Linked DNA regions of Struthio camelus. The protein of the gene in region 2 binds, or shares a complex with, the protein of the main gene of each other region. Links are inferred from orthologs where the notes say so. Each region holds a gene or a part of one and is shown on either strand. Other genes may lie near its edges. The genes, in order: PTH and PTH1R.

Region 1 (8,024 bases), on a different chromosome or scaffold from region 2:
CTGCAATTTATTATAGACTGTCATATTTTAGAAGAGAGGAAGGTAATCAAACCCTCCCTTCATTTCTATATTTTGCTAAATTTCATTCTTACATTTCTTACAGAATTTATTTTAACTCTGTCCCATTCAGCCTTAATCTTAAGCTTTGCCTTCCTACTTTCATTTCTTATGCTTGCTCTCTTTTATCTTAAATTGATATCTTGCAGCTTCTGCTATGTAATTAAAGCGCGCATTATTTTAGGCCTTTTTCTGAAAATAAATGTGAATATAGATTTACATGTTTTCATTAGTACGAAGTCAAACAGTTTAACACTAGGCAAAATGGGGCCCTATTCTGGGGACAGGTTCTGCTGTGGTTATTCATTTTTCATTAGCAGTTCAGGTAGACATAGAGATTACATACAAGTGTTCTCCATATAAAAGTGGTAGAACTGATCTTAAATGATTTTTCAACCTTGTTGTTGTTGTTGTTTTTTAATTTTGTATTTGAAATTGAAATTTATAAGATGCATTAGCCATTTGAAAGATACCCAAAAATTAGCAGTAATGGACATGGATGGGCTGCAATTACCTATTATTATTTGGTTGTGAAATACCTAACTCAGTGGGGCTGCAATGTTGAGTGGAGCCTTTAATCCTTATTGTAATTTGAATAAATAATAATAAAATGCCCTACTTGATCAGTGATCTATAGACACATGCTTACTTGGACAGACATAGCACTCTGGCTCTTTTCATTATGGCTTTGTTTTGAAGAGTACATCCATGTAAGCTTTGTCCAGATCGATGGATTTCTTCTGCATTGTTGCCCGCAAATGCTCAGGGAGCAGCCTCCGACTTCTAATCTCCCTCAAGACAATATCATCCTTGTTTCGAGGCCTTTGGGTCCTAGCATCCTCGAGGGCACTGTGCACGTCCTGCAGTTTCATCTGAAGCCAGTCCTGTCTCTCCACAGTGTGCCGATGCTCTCCGAGATTATGCATTAGTTGCATCTCACTCACTGATCTTTTCCTGTACAAAAGAAAAGCAAAGACAGAGACTCATCATGACCCTCCTTGAATTCTTGGTCTTCACGCAAAACCCAGATCTGGGAACTTTTGGAAGGTACTGCAATACAGAGTTGTAGAACCTATCTTTCTAATTTATAAGGGATGGAATGACATCTGGAGAAGAGAAGGAGAGTGGATGGTGATTTGTTAATGGCAATGGATTTATTAGTGAGAAGGCAGCAAAAAATGTGGAGTAATTCTGTTTTGTAACAATGCTGTTTGACTGAAGTTAAGTTTATCACTTATTTTAGCTGTTGGAGTTGAGCTCAGGGCTTACATGATAATAGGTAACTGATTAATAAAATTATGGCACTTATTCAGAGGTAGTTTTCTGTGAACACTATAGCTTAGGAAGCATGATTTCCTGTGGATTTGTGTCTCAAGGCTAATTGATGTTAGTGTCTAAGCAAGTGTGAGTTCAGGCTACAGATTCTCCCAGAACTGGGGCTTTTATAAAGATGCCCTCCTGTGTAGATGCCACACATGTCTAGTAATGGATGCAACTTACACAGCTACGGAAATACTTATATGGTTTTTCTTCCTCTACTCAGCTGCCTATTTTCAAGAAATGCATAAGAACTAAGTGGTGATAGAAGGACATAAATGGACATAAACTTCTGTGCAGGCAGACAAATTGACCGTTTTCTCAAGAACAGCTAAAATCATCCTCCAAACTTTAGAAGTGTTTAATAATGTACTTACATCATTGGTCGTCCCTCAGACTTTGTAAAAAAACAAACGGCATATAAAATGATTGCAGTCTTGGCCAGATTTTTTATAGAAGTCATTTTGTCTATAAAGATAGAAATGAATACATATGTAAATGGTTGTTTCAAATATTTATTGTTTAGTTAACTCAAAAGAAATTTATTTTAGAAAAAAAGTTAAAGACAATAGAAAAGTGGCTGAAAAATATTTTCCTCATAAAATGTGTGAGAGCAGGGAATGTAACTGTAGACTTTATTTCTAATACTAATTTTGTGAACAACTTACTGTGTTCTTAGGTAAGTCATAAGAACTTCCATCAGCCTCAGTCACCCTGCATCATCAACATATCAATACCCATCACTTTGACACTTGGATGCAAAACACCGTGTCCTTCCAATAAAATTGTTAGTATTTAGAAATCATTTATACTTGATATGCTGCAAGTATGTTGAAATACTTGTATGTAGCTATGCAGATGAATTTTTTTTCTTTTATCTATTCCTTGTGTGTCACTGAGTTGCATATTCTTTAGCATGAAGAACTTGACACTATTCTCACAATTTTTGCATAGTAACATAATTATACTGAGTTATGTTATTCCCCACTTAATCACGTAAGAGAAATCAGAATTGAGCCTCCCATTTTTCAGTGTTAATACTGCATTGCCAGTGTTAGTTCTACTCTGCTCAGTATATCATCAGCTGAACTATCACCTGGGATATACTTGCAGAATGCTTAGTACTGATGATGCTTCAACAGAGAGAAATAAAACAGTTCAAATTTCAGTTTCCAATTTGGATTTTCAGTATTGGTAGCCAGAAAAGGCATCTTTTTGTTATAATTTATGCAATTTGTGACAGAATAACTGAGACGTAATAAATATAGAACTCCACAGTGCAATTTTTGTAGTATTTTCTACAGATTTACTCTAGGTCAGAAAAGCATTTACTGCACAATATTTTACATGAGAATATGGTTATGCTCCTAGCAGTGAATCTAACTCAATATTATGAATTCATGAGTTGGATTCACTTAAGACATTTCTAACTCACTCTCTCAGATTTCTTCATTTCACAAATCTGGTTCAGATAATAAAATAGTTTGATCTTATATTCATTATATGTTTAAGATAGTCAGAAAAGAAGCTAAAGTAAAAACTGAATAATGAATCAATGATAAAATCAGTCAGAACTCGGAAATAAAAAAGTATACTTACCAGATACTATCTTAAACAGATTTCTGATTTGGGTATGTCAGCAGCTGACTGTCTCTTGATGTCAAGTATATTTAAAGACTACTGAATTGGTCTAGTGCACCCCTTAAATGTAACTTTAAAATAGAGCTTCTAAGTAACTTAGAAGCCCTTTTATTGTCTCAGTTGATGTCACTCTCAACACACACCCTCCTGACCCTCATGTACCCACCCTCAGATGCTTCTGTTAATTGGGCATTTACAGAGAAAAGAAAGGTCTCAGCAAAAAGTAAGTATTCTGGGTAACTGTGAAGAAGTTTAACTTTTAAATTCAGATTCCCTATTATGTGTAGCTTTTGCGCACAAGCTAATCTGATCTCTGAAGCTGTAGTAAGGATTTACAGAGAAAGCTTTGTCATGTTAAATACAGACAGGTAGAATTTAAGATTATGCAGTAGGGTTAATGATCTACAAATGCAAGCTTAACACAAGATATTGAAAAGCTAATTTTTGTAATAGTTGTGGGAAGTGAGAGTAGTCATTTTAGATCTGATACTAGGTTTCTTTGAGAGAGAATATACTGGAGAAGTGCAGAAACACCAATGTGATAGAGGATCATTTCCAAGGTGTTTTTAATGAATAGCTAGTGATACTAAAAAGTTTTTAAAATATGATGCTAGACCCTTGCTATCCTGTCATACATATGCCTATGAATATCCCTGAATTGCTCAAACAAGCTAGATGTAATGGAGGCACTTGAAGAGGCTGTGATATTAGTGCTTTATTCATTTTGTAAAGGAAAGATAGAACTCTTTGCCTACGCTCTAAGAAATTAAACGTGTGTAAATCAGCAATACTTCCCATACGTATGAAGAAAGAGCTTTTTGGCTGCCAGATGCTTTTCCTATATTAGATGTTTCTTCTGGGTTCCAGAATGTTTCTCCAGAAGAAAAAGGTTTACGTCTGCACACTTTGGCACACTATTGGAAGCTATCATTGCTTTACCAGAAACACTGTTTAGATTATGTGATATACCTATAGAATTTCACAAAAAGATAGAAGATACATTTTGTAATATTTGTTTACCTAGGCAGTATTCTCATGGGGAAAGGAAAGAGAATGAAAGAATATTATAAGCAGAAGCTCTACAAAGCTCTAAAAAGAGCTCATGATTCTCTCAGTAAACAGTAAACTAAGAAGTAAGGAACTACTCACTTTAATGAGTTCAAGAAAATAGGGTAGAGATGGTTTCCTGTGTGATACAGTCAGTTGTCAATGTGCTTCCACCCACACGCAGAGAAAGCATACAGATGTTTATGGGGCCGATAAGTTTTGCTAGGAGGTTTATTCCTGGTCTGGCTGCCAGCAATAGTAACCTAAGGCTTTAGTAAATAAAAATATATGATGGACATGGAATGCCAGGAAAGGATTTGAAAAATCTCTACACAATTGGTAACAAAAGGCACCATTTTTTAGATTCAATCATAGTAAACATACACAAAACCTTCAAAGCTAGGCCTCAAGGCAGCGCTCTTGCAAAGGCCTGGCAGCCATTTGGAACCTCTCGCGTATAACAACAAAGCTTTAATTAAAGGCTAAGCATTATCAATTCTAGTGTCTGTATATAAAAAAAGATGTTTTCATATAAACTGAGAGCAAAAATTAGTAATAAACCATTAGTAGTCATTGCAAAATGAGTATTAGCAGACCTGGGTTGCAGAGGTTATACTTTTAGTTGTACTTGCATCCCTTACAACTCACATGTAAATCCTGAAGAGAGACCCCATTCTAGGGCTTTGAATAAAACCGAGAGCATGATCTTGTAATTCTAAATGCTCTGCTAGCTTTGGGCAAATATAGTCTGTTACAGTAGCTACCCTTAAAAAAGATGTAATTTTAGCTAGCTTATTTGCTGCATACCTAGTCTTTATGACAATGATGAAAGAGGATTTCCTCTTCAATGTCATTTTCATTCAAAGGTACTAAATTGGTTGCTCCGTAAATGTCAAACAAAGATTGCTAAACTTGATCCTTAAAATATATTTTTGTGTGTGGAAAAATACAGAAGACAAATCAGAATGGTGCTATTTGCCTCAAATGAGAGAAGATATAGAAAATAACAAAAATATGAAATATATACCCCAATATTTGTCAACTAAAAGAGCCTATGGTAGTAATTACAGAAACTTCAAATTAGAGTACAGAATTGGTATAGTGCATTTGTATATGCAGAAAAAAATTACTGATTTGTTTTGAATTATTACCCTGATATCCAGAAGTGGTATTACTTGAAAATACAGCTGCCTTATAATACCTTATAATACCTTATAATAATGGTCAGATAATGGGCCAAATGAATGTAATTATTTTATGAAATACTGTAATTGTGAACATTTTTCTTTAAAGATAATGTATCCACTGTTTAATGGTCAATATAAAATAGTACTGAGGTCTTTTAGAAGATACTTAAGAAAGATGGAGATTCATGTACAGATTCAAATTTTTCTTAAGCATCCTTATAACAAATTCAGATCCCTTTTGGGAGGTACTTAATGGAACAGCAGAACCCAGGAAACCAGCACCAACCCTTACTGAAGTGCTGTTAAGTGGGAAGCTTAAAACCAGACTACCCAAATATGTAGTCAGTAATGTTATAAAGGAGGTATATAAACCCTTATAAAACAATGAAAAAATAAAATATGATCTGTGCTACAAAAAAGGCATCTCATGAGCCTTTGTACATATAAGACTAGGTATATAAATACAGTGGCAAAATATGAGTGAAAAAAACCAACAGTTTCTTGCAAAAATATCCTCTGCCAGTGAGGTACCCACAAAAGAGAACAGATCTATAGGGGACAATTTTTGCTTCTCTGAGAACAGGAGGAAGAAAAACACAGTGGATTCTGAGTTTCTCAAGTTCTGATATTCTGAAAACTGCAGGCCAATGAGCCAATGCATCAAGCAGTGGATACGACTGAATAGAACAGTCCAGAAGCTATAAATCATTAGATGTTTCAGGTATCTACCAGACATAGGAGACTGATTCAGAGGCTGATTGCAAGCAATTGGCTTATATGTTGCATAATCAATACTGAATTTTCTTTTCCTTTGGAAGAGGGAGAGCTGAGAGTGGGTAACATTTTATGAGACTTGGGTTGAAATATAATCATGGTTGGAAGATTCTGGTTCGAGTCTGTGATTATTTCTTCAAGTATGTCAGTCAAATGTCTCAGGCTAGAGAGAGTTCTCATTATCTAAAAACAAGGAATGCTATATGAAGTGTGACAATATAGCAATATACTCCAGATTGTAGTATGATAATAGCTAATATGTGGTATCAAGCATTATAGCTGTAAGCATCAAACAAGAGAGTGGCTCTTCTGAAGGAGAAGCCTGGAAAATTGAAGATGATGGAATCATAGTGTAGGAGAGAAGAGCTTTTTCCTCTGAAAAGCCTTTTCCTTGACCAGTTGTAGAAATACTATTCCCTGACCTTCCCTTATAGATTGAGTAGATAAATTAACCAACTGTGCGTGAAAAAATCTCTGTGCTGCTTTATTTGCAGGAGGCATGCCACCTTACTTTGAATTTGTGCCATTGAACGTAATCGTACTCCAGGACTGAAAACAAGTGGGAAGCAATTAGACAGATTTTACAGCCAGGTAGGTGAACAATGGCCATATTCTAAAAATACTGAATTCTCCTTCTTACAGTCTATCCATTTTGTCAGGAAAAGGGATTATAGCGCATCTTGAAACTAAACATATCCTGAGGTACCTTACTGGATTATGGTTAGAGGACAGAGTACTTTCTAGGATTATACCCTAAGTGACTAGAGCATATTTTTCACAGATTAATTGTACAATCTGGTGTATTAATATTCCTGTAGAGATGTTAATCCTCTAAATTTGAGTTAAGGTTTAAGTACTGAAGTCAGATTATTTCCATGTTATTTACAAAATCAGGCTTTTACCACTTTCCTTATTTCAGCAGGCAGTTTCAGATAAAATGCATTCTAACCAGAACTGTAGCTAACAGAGTATTAGTAGGTCATTGAGCAAGGGAACAAAGTAATTGGTGACACACTGGTTGACTGGTGAGACAACCTTTCTAAATGTGTCCAAAGAATGTTTCTGCCTTGACACAATGAAGATCCAAAGTGACAGTCAGTAAACTCTTCAGATCTTTGTTTGATTGACAAGATTTGTGGCTTTTCAAATACCACAGCAGCATGTTTGGTAATTTATGTAAGTAATGTGGGGTATCCTCAGGTGTTCATTGGGTTCCTGCAACTAAATGAAGCTTCGATCACATGTCAAGTTCCTGTTAGATGAAAAACAACAAATGGCCTTATGTGAAAATCAAAAGATAGCGTAACACAGTTTCGGTGTGTGCCCGATCTGCCTGATACAGCAGCTACAACAGCTACTGAGAAATATGAGCTTGGAAATAATTGCTTGCCAGTATATCTTACTCCAGTTACATAGCATCCTTCATCTGAGAATCACAATGTTAATGAATCTCCTTAATTTCTTTGTGAGAAAAATAAGTATTGGTGTTATTTGTGTATGTTTAATGGACATTTAGGGAAAGACAGATTAAATGCGGATCAGAAAGAAAACAAAAGCTGGCAGATTCTAATCTCAGCCACCTAACTTTACATACATTGCTTACATAGGTAGATAAACTAGACACTGTAGCGATAACTGTGATCCAGATTATTTCTAGAGTTTTCAGTGAATGAATGAATCACATAGTCTGATCACCATGATCACATGCTGTCTGAATGGACGCCTGCTATTTTTGCCCTGAATTTAACTTGTCCAAGTTATAAAATAACAGAGGTATCCTGTTTATCATGGATTTTCTCTCATGACCTACCATGGACATGCCATGTTTTGATGATATGATCATGAATGTATGGGTGTTTGCTCTCTGCATGCCGCCCTACACCTTGGCTGCATAGAGTTTCATATAGCATTACATGGCTGTTTTGAAGCCTAAACGGAGAGCCCTGCTTACCTCATCTCTCTCTCATGAGAAGAATCTGAAGCTTGATGAAGCAGCCCAGA
Region 2 (7,353 bases):
TCAATGACTTTAGCTGACGTAAGTAGTGCATGTTTCACTTAACCTGCGTGACCCAGAGGAGAAAGGGCAGGAGATTTTTTTTTTTTGTCTAGGATGGGACTTCAGCTCCTGCAGAGAGGAAGCATTCACCCAGCTGTGAAGAAAACAATCCAGGGAGACGAGAATTTTAATATTGGGCTGTGTGAAAGTTAGCTGCAAGATAGGACCTATTCACAGTAGAAATCATTTCTGGCCAAATCCTTAGCCAGTTTAAACTGACTGTGCATTTTTTGCTGCTATTTTTACACCAACAGAAGGACATAAAACTTTTAGAAGGTTCGGGTGTAAGACGTTGGAGAAACTGAATTCAACCTTCACCACCTCCTGATGTCTCCTTAAAATAGCAACATCACATAGGCTTTGTTTAGAGCTGCATTCCTTCTTAGTTCATTATATACATATTCACGTATACAACCGAAAAGAAAAACAAAACAAAACTTAGTTGTCCAAATTACCTTTACCTTGACAGGGCCACCAGCCTGGAACAGATCTACCAAGGAGGATGGAGTCCTACTTTGTATGGTGAGAAGAGGTCATCCTTCGCGGTCCAAGCAAGGAGCTTACACACTGACATACAGCATCCCAAACAAAAGAAGATACCCAGACACACAGAATAAATCATTTTCCCTTCAAAAGTCCATAGAGAGGGGAAGGATCCTCTTTTAACCAGGGCTGAGAGAATGCACAGCATCTGGGAATGAAGGGGAGTGACAAAATCATTTTACTGGTTACCTGGTGCTGATCTGTTCACAAATGAACTAGAGCACTAGAGCCGCAGCATGAGACCTGTTCTCTACCACCCCACACATAGAGGCAGCCACCACCACCAAAGGCAGAGGGTGAAAGGTTGTATGTGGCTAGGGGACATGGTCAGGAGGACAGGGGATAGCAGGATATTCAGATCCCTTTGTTCCAAGTTCTCAGAGAAAGGCAGCATGTATAATCTAAGATGAGGAAGGAAGTTTTTGTATAAGCAACAGCGAAGCACGTTGGACTCTCAAGGGTGGAAAATGATGAAGGAGCAATACAGCAGTGGTCTATGAACTCCTGAGTGGCCAGGAGAGGGTGAGGAGGGACTGGTTGCTCATCATTTTTTCTAGCACAGGAACTAGAAAGTTATCACAAGAAGTTGGCAGGTTGCAAGTCCAGCACAAATAAAAGCAGGTAGCTCTTCATGTGCCTGTAGTTAAGCTGTGGAACACCTTGCCACAGGATCTTGTGGATTCTCAGAGGAAGGCCCTGAGCTGTAGATCTCTTCTTCAATCTGGGGGAGCAGGTGGCAGAAGCACCTCCATATCTTCTTGCTATAGCATGCACTGCCATGGACTGTCAGAGAGAAAACACTAAACTGAATGGGTCCATAACCTTTATGAGCCTATAAAAATGCTCTTGCATTCTTCCTTCTCTGCTCACAGTGACCTTGTATCGAAGACTTACAATCCAGACCACAGCAACCCAGTTTCTCTTTCACCCTTCTCTTCTGGTCTGACCTTGCATACATCACAGTCTTCCAAGGATGCAAGGGGCTCAGAAATTGCAGGGTCTGATTCTCGGCACACCATGACTCAGACAGGGACCCCTTTTATGTGGGCAAAGAACTGATAAGCTGTTTCAGGGCAGAGCTGTACTGGGGTCATGAGCATGGCGGAGATGCTCACATTTCCAGCACTGGTACCTGACTGGGAGTCTCTGGACATGATTCACTAGGACTTTAGAGGATATGTGTCATCAACCACCCCTACAGTCCTACTGTTCAACTCTACCTTCCTGCACACCTACTCTGCCCAGAGGAGAGTGAAGAAGGTTATGAGATGAGCAGAGCAGCATCCAAGAAGACCTTTCCTGTGGGTGTGAGCTCACCCACAACAGCAGGAAAAGTCGACATGAGTGCTAGAGAGCTGTGAATTGAACCTTAGATTTATTCTTCTGGCTGCTTCTGAAAGAGGGATGAGGACTGGGGAGCTGTGGAGAAGTATCTCTTCCCTCCTCCCACACGTCTTGCACGGGGTGGTTTGAGAGGAGAGATATGGCTACCATGTGGGGAAAGCCACCTTTAGATTCCGCTGCAATATGTTGAATGCTCATCCCTCCAAAGAAGAGCTATAGCTTTTGCACTTTCCATCCTCCTAGAATAACCAAGAAGAGAACGGGTGAGGAGAAATGAAGCAGGCTCCAACTACTGTATCTTGCAAGAGGCCAGCTTTGGCTCTAGGGCCTCCGGAGGTGTGGGTTCATTTTGCTTGTGGATAATGGGGATGGAAGAAAACATCCCCTATAGTCATGGTGACTATGAGAGCAAGACAAAGCCAGAGTCAGATTTCCCTGCTGTACTTCTCGGGCAGGCTTTAAACTGGAGCTGGAGGGAGGGAACAATTTCCTTCTTGTGCAGCTTCAGCAGTTCAGTGGTATCTGCCTTTAATCATTAAATGATCTGGGGGAGAAACAGCAGCCTGGAAGCATCCCTGGTCCTGTCCCACACCCTGCACATGGGGATGAGATATGGACGGGGGACCACAGGCTAAACGTGGCCATCCCCCAAACTGGATAAGATCCTGGTTTATTTACACCACCTCCTCTTTCTGGTGGTGATAGAGGGATGGGAGGGGTAGGGTAATTTAATATATGAGGCTCGCCTCTGCTTCTCTCCTCTCTCCCAGAAAGAACAGAAACCGTGACAGGGCCCCTGAAACTTTGTGGCAGATTTTTTTTTTCCCCAGAAAGACTATAGAGCGCTGAGTACATATTTACTCAGCCCGCCCCATACTTAAACACGCACAGATGCTCGGCTTCCCCAAGGGACACAGGCTCTCCCACCCCCCCAACACTCCCCCCCACACACACCCCTCGCAGAGTGCAGTGGGCAGAAGTGAGCCAGGCCCGAAAAAAAAAAACGAAACCCAAACAGAGGTGGAAATACCTGCATGGGGATTCCCCAAGGAAACGCTCTTAAAATGAAACAATCTGCCCTCCTCCTTGACCCCCTCTGCCCAATAAATAGCTTTTTAATCCACAGCACAAGAGCTTGAAAAACATCCTTAGAAGTGTTCTGCAGCTGGGGGGGAGGGAACGGGGGAGCTTTAGTGGGTTTTTTTTGCCACTGCTGTTAAATTCCTCCTCCCTCCCAACTACCCCCCGCCCCAAGGTGCCCCCCCAGCCTGCCTCCTCGCAGGCCTCGCAGCCGCATGCACTGCCTCACTGGAGGCATGTGTTGCCCGTGCAGGCTGCGAGCTGGCTCCCCTGCACGGCGGAGGGGAAGGGGGTGGGAAGGGGGGGGGTGGGAGGGGTGCACGCCTGACCCCGTGCTTCCCAGCCTGCCGGTCACAGGCTGGCTAGGGCCAGCCAATGATAGGGCCAGCCCGTGGGGGTTTTTATACCTGCCTCGCTCCCCCCGCTGAGCTGCACGCAGCCGCCGAGGTCCGCGGAGGCTGGCAGAGAGAGGCAGAGAGCTTGCAAGGAAGGAGGAGGAGGAAAAGATTGCATCAAGAGCCGAACTTTTTTTTTTTTTTTTTTTTTTTGCTCTCTCTCTCTTACAGGAAGCCCTACTCTACCTTAGCCTTGGAAAGAGCCCCTTTTCATAAAATTAGCTGAAGGCACCTATTCACAGCCACGGGGCTGTGAAAAAAAAAAAAAAAGCAACAAACCGACTGTAGAGTTTCTCTCTCTCTCTCTCTCTTTTTTTTTTTTTTCCTCTTCGCTCCAAAAAATAAAAGAGAAATGCACACAGCTCCACTCTGCGAAAACTTGATGTTTTTACCGTCTGCCCTGCGACAGATCTAGAGAGGGTTTTTGGTTTGGTTTGGGGTTTGGTTGGTTGGTTTTGTTTCGTTCTGTTTTTTTTTTTTCTTTTTTTCTTTCCCCCTGCTTACGGCCGTTCAGCTCCCTCTAACTCACCAACGCCCGGCAGAAATCCGCTGCTTCTGCAAGAAAAACAGAGAGGGGGGAGAAAAAGAAAGAAAGAAAGAAAGAAAGAAAGAAAGAAAGAAAGAAAGAAAGAAAAAGAAAGAAAGAAAGAAAGAAAGAAAGAAAGTAACGAGAAACCCGAGGCGAGCGAAGGTTTCCAGAGTTCCCCCATGAGTCAGCCCTCAGCGCAGCGCGGCGTGTGCGTGTTTGCGCGCGTGTCGCATCGCTGTCACGATCTCCAGCCCCCTCCCCTCCTCAACACTCCTCCCACGCCAAAAAAAAAAAAAAAAAAAAAAAAAGATAAGGGATGATGGAGGCTCTTTGCGGCTTCTCGAGAAAACTCCCCAAAAGGAGGGGGCTACGCTGGAGGTGGGAGGCTGAAGCGGGGGCGGCGGGGGGGGGTCTTGTCTCCCTTTTTTTTTTTTTTTTTTTGGCCCTGCAGTTTTTATGAATGAAACTGGGAGTAACGCCGCTGCCGTGAAACTGACAAGCTGGTCAATTTCGGGAGCCTCCTGCGGGGCAGAGGGGTTTCGGGGCCGGGGGCGGGGGGGTGGGAAGGGGTTGAGGGGGGGAAGGAATAGGGACGCGGCAGCCCCGCGCCCGGCGGAGCGATGCGCTCCCAAAACCGGTAGCCAGCCTGGATCTTCCCCCCCCCCCCCCCACGCAACCCCCCATCCCGTCCCTGGAGTTTTTTTGTTTTGCTTTGTTTTTTTTTACACCCCCCCCCCTCCTCCAAAGCCATGCTGCTACCTCCTTTCTGTACGCGGCGGCGGCGGGCGGGCGGCGGGAGCGCGCAGCCCGCCGGCGCGCACCGCTCCGCGGCCGGCCCGGGGCGGCGGCGGCGCTGCGCGCACGGCGCAAGGCAGCGCCTTCCCCTCCCCGCGTTTCGGTGACACTGGTGCTGGGGACGCGGGACAAGGACTGTGTGTCTGTGTGTGTGCGCGTGCGGTCGGGCGAATGGAAAAGCGAGGATTTCACACAATTCCGCGGAGTAAGTGAAAAGCGTTTTGTTGTTGTTGGGTTTTGTGTGTGTGTGTGCGTGTGTGTGTGTGTGTGTGTTTTTAACAGCGAGGATCTAAAATAAACTGCTTAAAGCGGGTGGCGGGGGTGGGGGTGGGAGCGATCTTGCAGCCCCACGCTTTCATGCCGTGCTCAATTGGCTTTTTGAAACTGCAGATCCTTTGAGACAGAGAGGGAGAGAGAAGCAAAAATCCCTATTTGTAACTAAAACACACTGCAACCTGGAAGGTTGGCAGAATAAACCTATTGTGGAGCGCTGAAATGCACTGGAATATACAAGCAAAAATCCCCAAGAGTACCACTGTTTGTAAAAAGGTAATTGCTAAGTGAAAATATTTCCAAGTTTTCGCTTTTTTTAACTTTCGACTTTGCGATTTGTTTGCATGCCGAAAAAAGAAGGAAAAAAAGCCTTTCCCCCCCCCCCCCCAAACCCCTCTGAAACCTAAAAGATAAAATTACTGGATCTAAAAATAAAGCAGTGGTTAAAAGCCTCCCCCACCCTCTCCAATCTCCCACCCCTTCCACCCCTCTCTCACTCCTTCTCCCTCCCTCCCTCCCTCTCTCTCTCTCTCTCTCTCTTTCTGTGTGTTTGCGTTTGACAAAGAAATTATTTGAACTTCCCACTGCCTCATAAAAAGGAAACAGAATAGCAGTTTTGACATATGGATGTGATTTTTCTGCTCTGAGACAGATGCACACGGAAAACAAACAGCACCAGGGGCTGCAGCTCTGAGGGAGCGAAGTTGCTCCGCTTCACATGGGCTCCTACACTGCATTTAGGGAGCTGCCCAGATCTCCAGCCATGAGAAAGCGAAGCAAAGGACCGGGGTTTCTTGTCATGTGCCTTTCTGGCTAAAACTGTGGAAACAAACAAACAATCAAACAAACACAAATTCTGGAGGGGGGGGCGGGAGGGAAGGAGAAGGAGAAATCATCTGCAACTGGAGCGCTGGAAGACCTCTCGTCCTCCTACTTCCTTGAGAGATCTTGGATGCTGGAAGAAGCCTCTTGGATATGGGATCATATCTGGTTTATCACAGTCTGGGTTTGATCCTCTGCTGCTCCGTACTGAGTTCTGTCTACGCTCTGGTGAGTCGCTGAATCTTTTCCCTTCACATTCTTGAACAAGCTGTTCGGCTGTTTCCTTGATGAGTAATTTACTGTATCAGGGATTTAGAAGGCAGAGCGCTGGTTTTTCAGACCAATGGTTTATTTCGTTGGCAGATAGTGTGTGTAGCTGGTCTCAGAGTTGCTGCACCAGATGAAATTAAAATGTCTGTGCTTCCAGAAGAGCTTGAATCACTTTTAAAACTCTCCAGAGAGAAACGTGTGCAGTTTGACAGGGAGAGGAGGCAAAGGGAAGCATTTGGGGAACAATTTAAAAGACACCTACCAGTAAGTCAAGGGAAACTTTAGTCTTTTTACGGCCCACCCACCAGCATGACAGATTTAATTTTAATTTAATCTCTTTAATCTGCAAATCTGCTTAATCTCAGCAAAACAGTGCCTTTCTGAGATTAACTTTGGAGAGAACCTTAGAGTCCAAACCTCAGTGCATGGATGGCAGATAGTTTACACTCCAGAGAATGAACGTAGTATTAACCCTTTGCTACCTGGGGCTATTTTCACCTGTTCCTGAACACACTGATAGAGACCTTTTTTTACAGGGGGAGACAAGTGTTGTAAAAAGGGCTAAACTCTGTTAAAACTGTCTTGATGGTGATGATGGGGAAGGGACTTAGCTCTACAGACCCTCTCTGCAGCCTTGAGTGATTTCTTAAGCCCTTCTGCAGAAGTGAAGGCAAATGTCATACAAAGTGAGCCATCAGATTTTAATCCATGGCGCATATACCACATTGACATGCACTTTGGTTTCTTTTTCCATCCCTGGCATCAACATCGTTGCTGCCCTTTCTCAGTACCGTCTGGTGTAGGAAGTAGCATGACCACCACCTGGGATGGTGTCTGCTGTCCAAAGAGCATGGAAATGCGTTTGGAGGGGAGCAGGTTAACCCCGATCCCAGCTCCAGCCAGGTCCTCCCTGATGCTCCAGGGACTGTCAGGCTGGGCTCATTCCCCTGGGTTTGGTGGGAATTATTTGCGACCTTGTGCAGGGCTGAGGTAGGCATTTCCCCAGTACATCCAGCATAGTGCTGGAGGGAAACATCTCATAGATGAAGGAGAAGCAGCAGCCCCTTGGAAAGAGTCGCTATTGCAGTCCATCCCTACCACTGTCTATCTCAAGCATGGATAAACCTTTCAAAGCCCAAAGAAGACCAGAAGTTGCTGGGAGGCTAGCTGTAGAGTCTCTGAGGGTTTAGTGACGGATGAGGTTTCTCTTCTGTTCTGGGGTTGGATTAGCATCTCCTCTGACTGTAGTCGACTTTGGGGCCG

Evidence for each region.
Region 1: the proteins of PTH1R (region 2) and PTH are in contact, whole or in part, in a cryo-EM structure (PDB 9JR3), measured with the Homo sapiens proteins. The link is inferred for Struthio camelus from reciprocal best matches to the Homo sapiens genes PTH1R and PTH. Residues at the interface, in NP_000307.1 of Homo sapiens: Val31, Met32, Thr33, Lys34, Glu35, Gln37, Ile38, Leu41, Glu111, Trp112, Asp113, His114, Ile115, Ile135, Tyr136, Asp137, Phe138, Arg146, Arg162, Thr163, Ala165, Tyr167, Val171, Leu174, Thr175, Glu177, Glu180, Arg181, Phe184, Leu187; in NP_000306.1 of Homo sapiens: Ser32, Val33, Ser34, Glu35, Ile36, Gln37, Leu38, Met39, His40, Asn41, Leu42, Gly43, Lys44, His45, Leu46, Asn47, Glu50, Arg51, Val52, Glu53, Trp54, Leu55, Arg56, Lys58, Leu59, Asp61, Val62, His63, Asn64, Phe65.

What each region holds. Positions count from the first base shown.
Region 1 is NC_090946.1:25,615,580-25,623,603, forward strand, and holds PTH (parathyroid hormone), read right to left. Parts: upstream 3,061-8,024; 5' UTR 2,974-3,060; intron 1,843-2,973; 5' UTR 1,838-1,842; coding exon 1,752-1,837; intron 1,012-1,751; coding exon 738-1,011; downstream 1-737. UniProt on the Homo sapiens protein: Parathyroid hormone elevates calcium level by dissolving the salts in bone and preventing their renal excretion. Acts by binding to its receptor, PTH1R, activating G protein-coupled receptor signaling.
Region 2 is NC_090943.1:2,173,759-2,181,111, reverse strand, and holds the start of PTH1R (parathyroid hormone/parathyroid hormone-related peptide receptor), read left to right. Parts: upstream 1-4,223; 5' UTR 4,224-4,308; intron 4,309-4,757; exon of another isoform or gene 4,758-4,930; intron 4,931-5,115; 5' UTR 5,116-5,274; intron 5,275-5,513; exon of another isoform or gene 5,514-5,650; 5' UTR 5,651-5,973; coding exon 5,974-6,048; intron 6,049-7,353.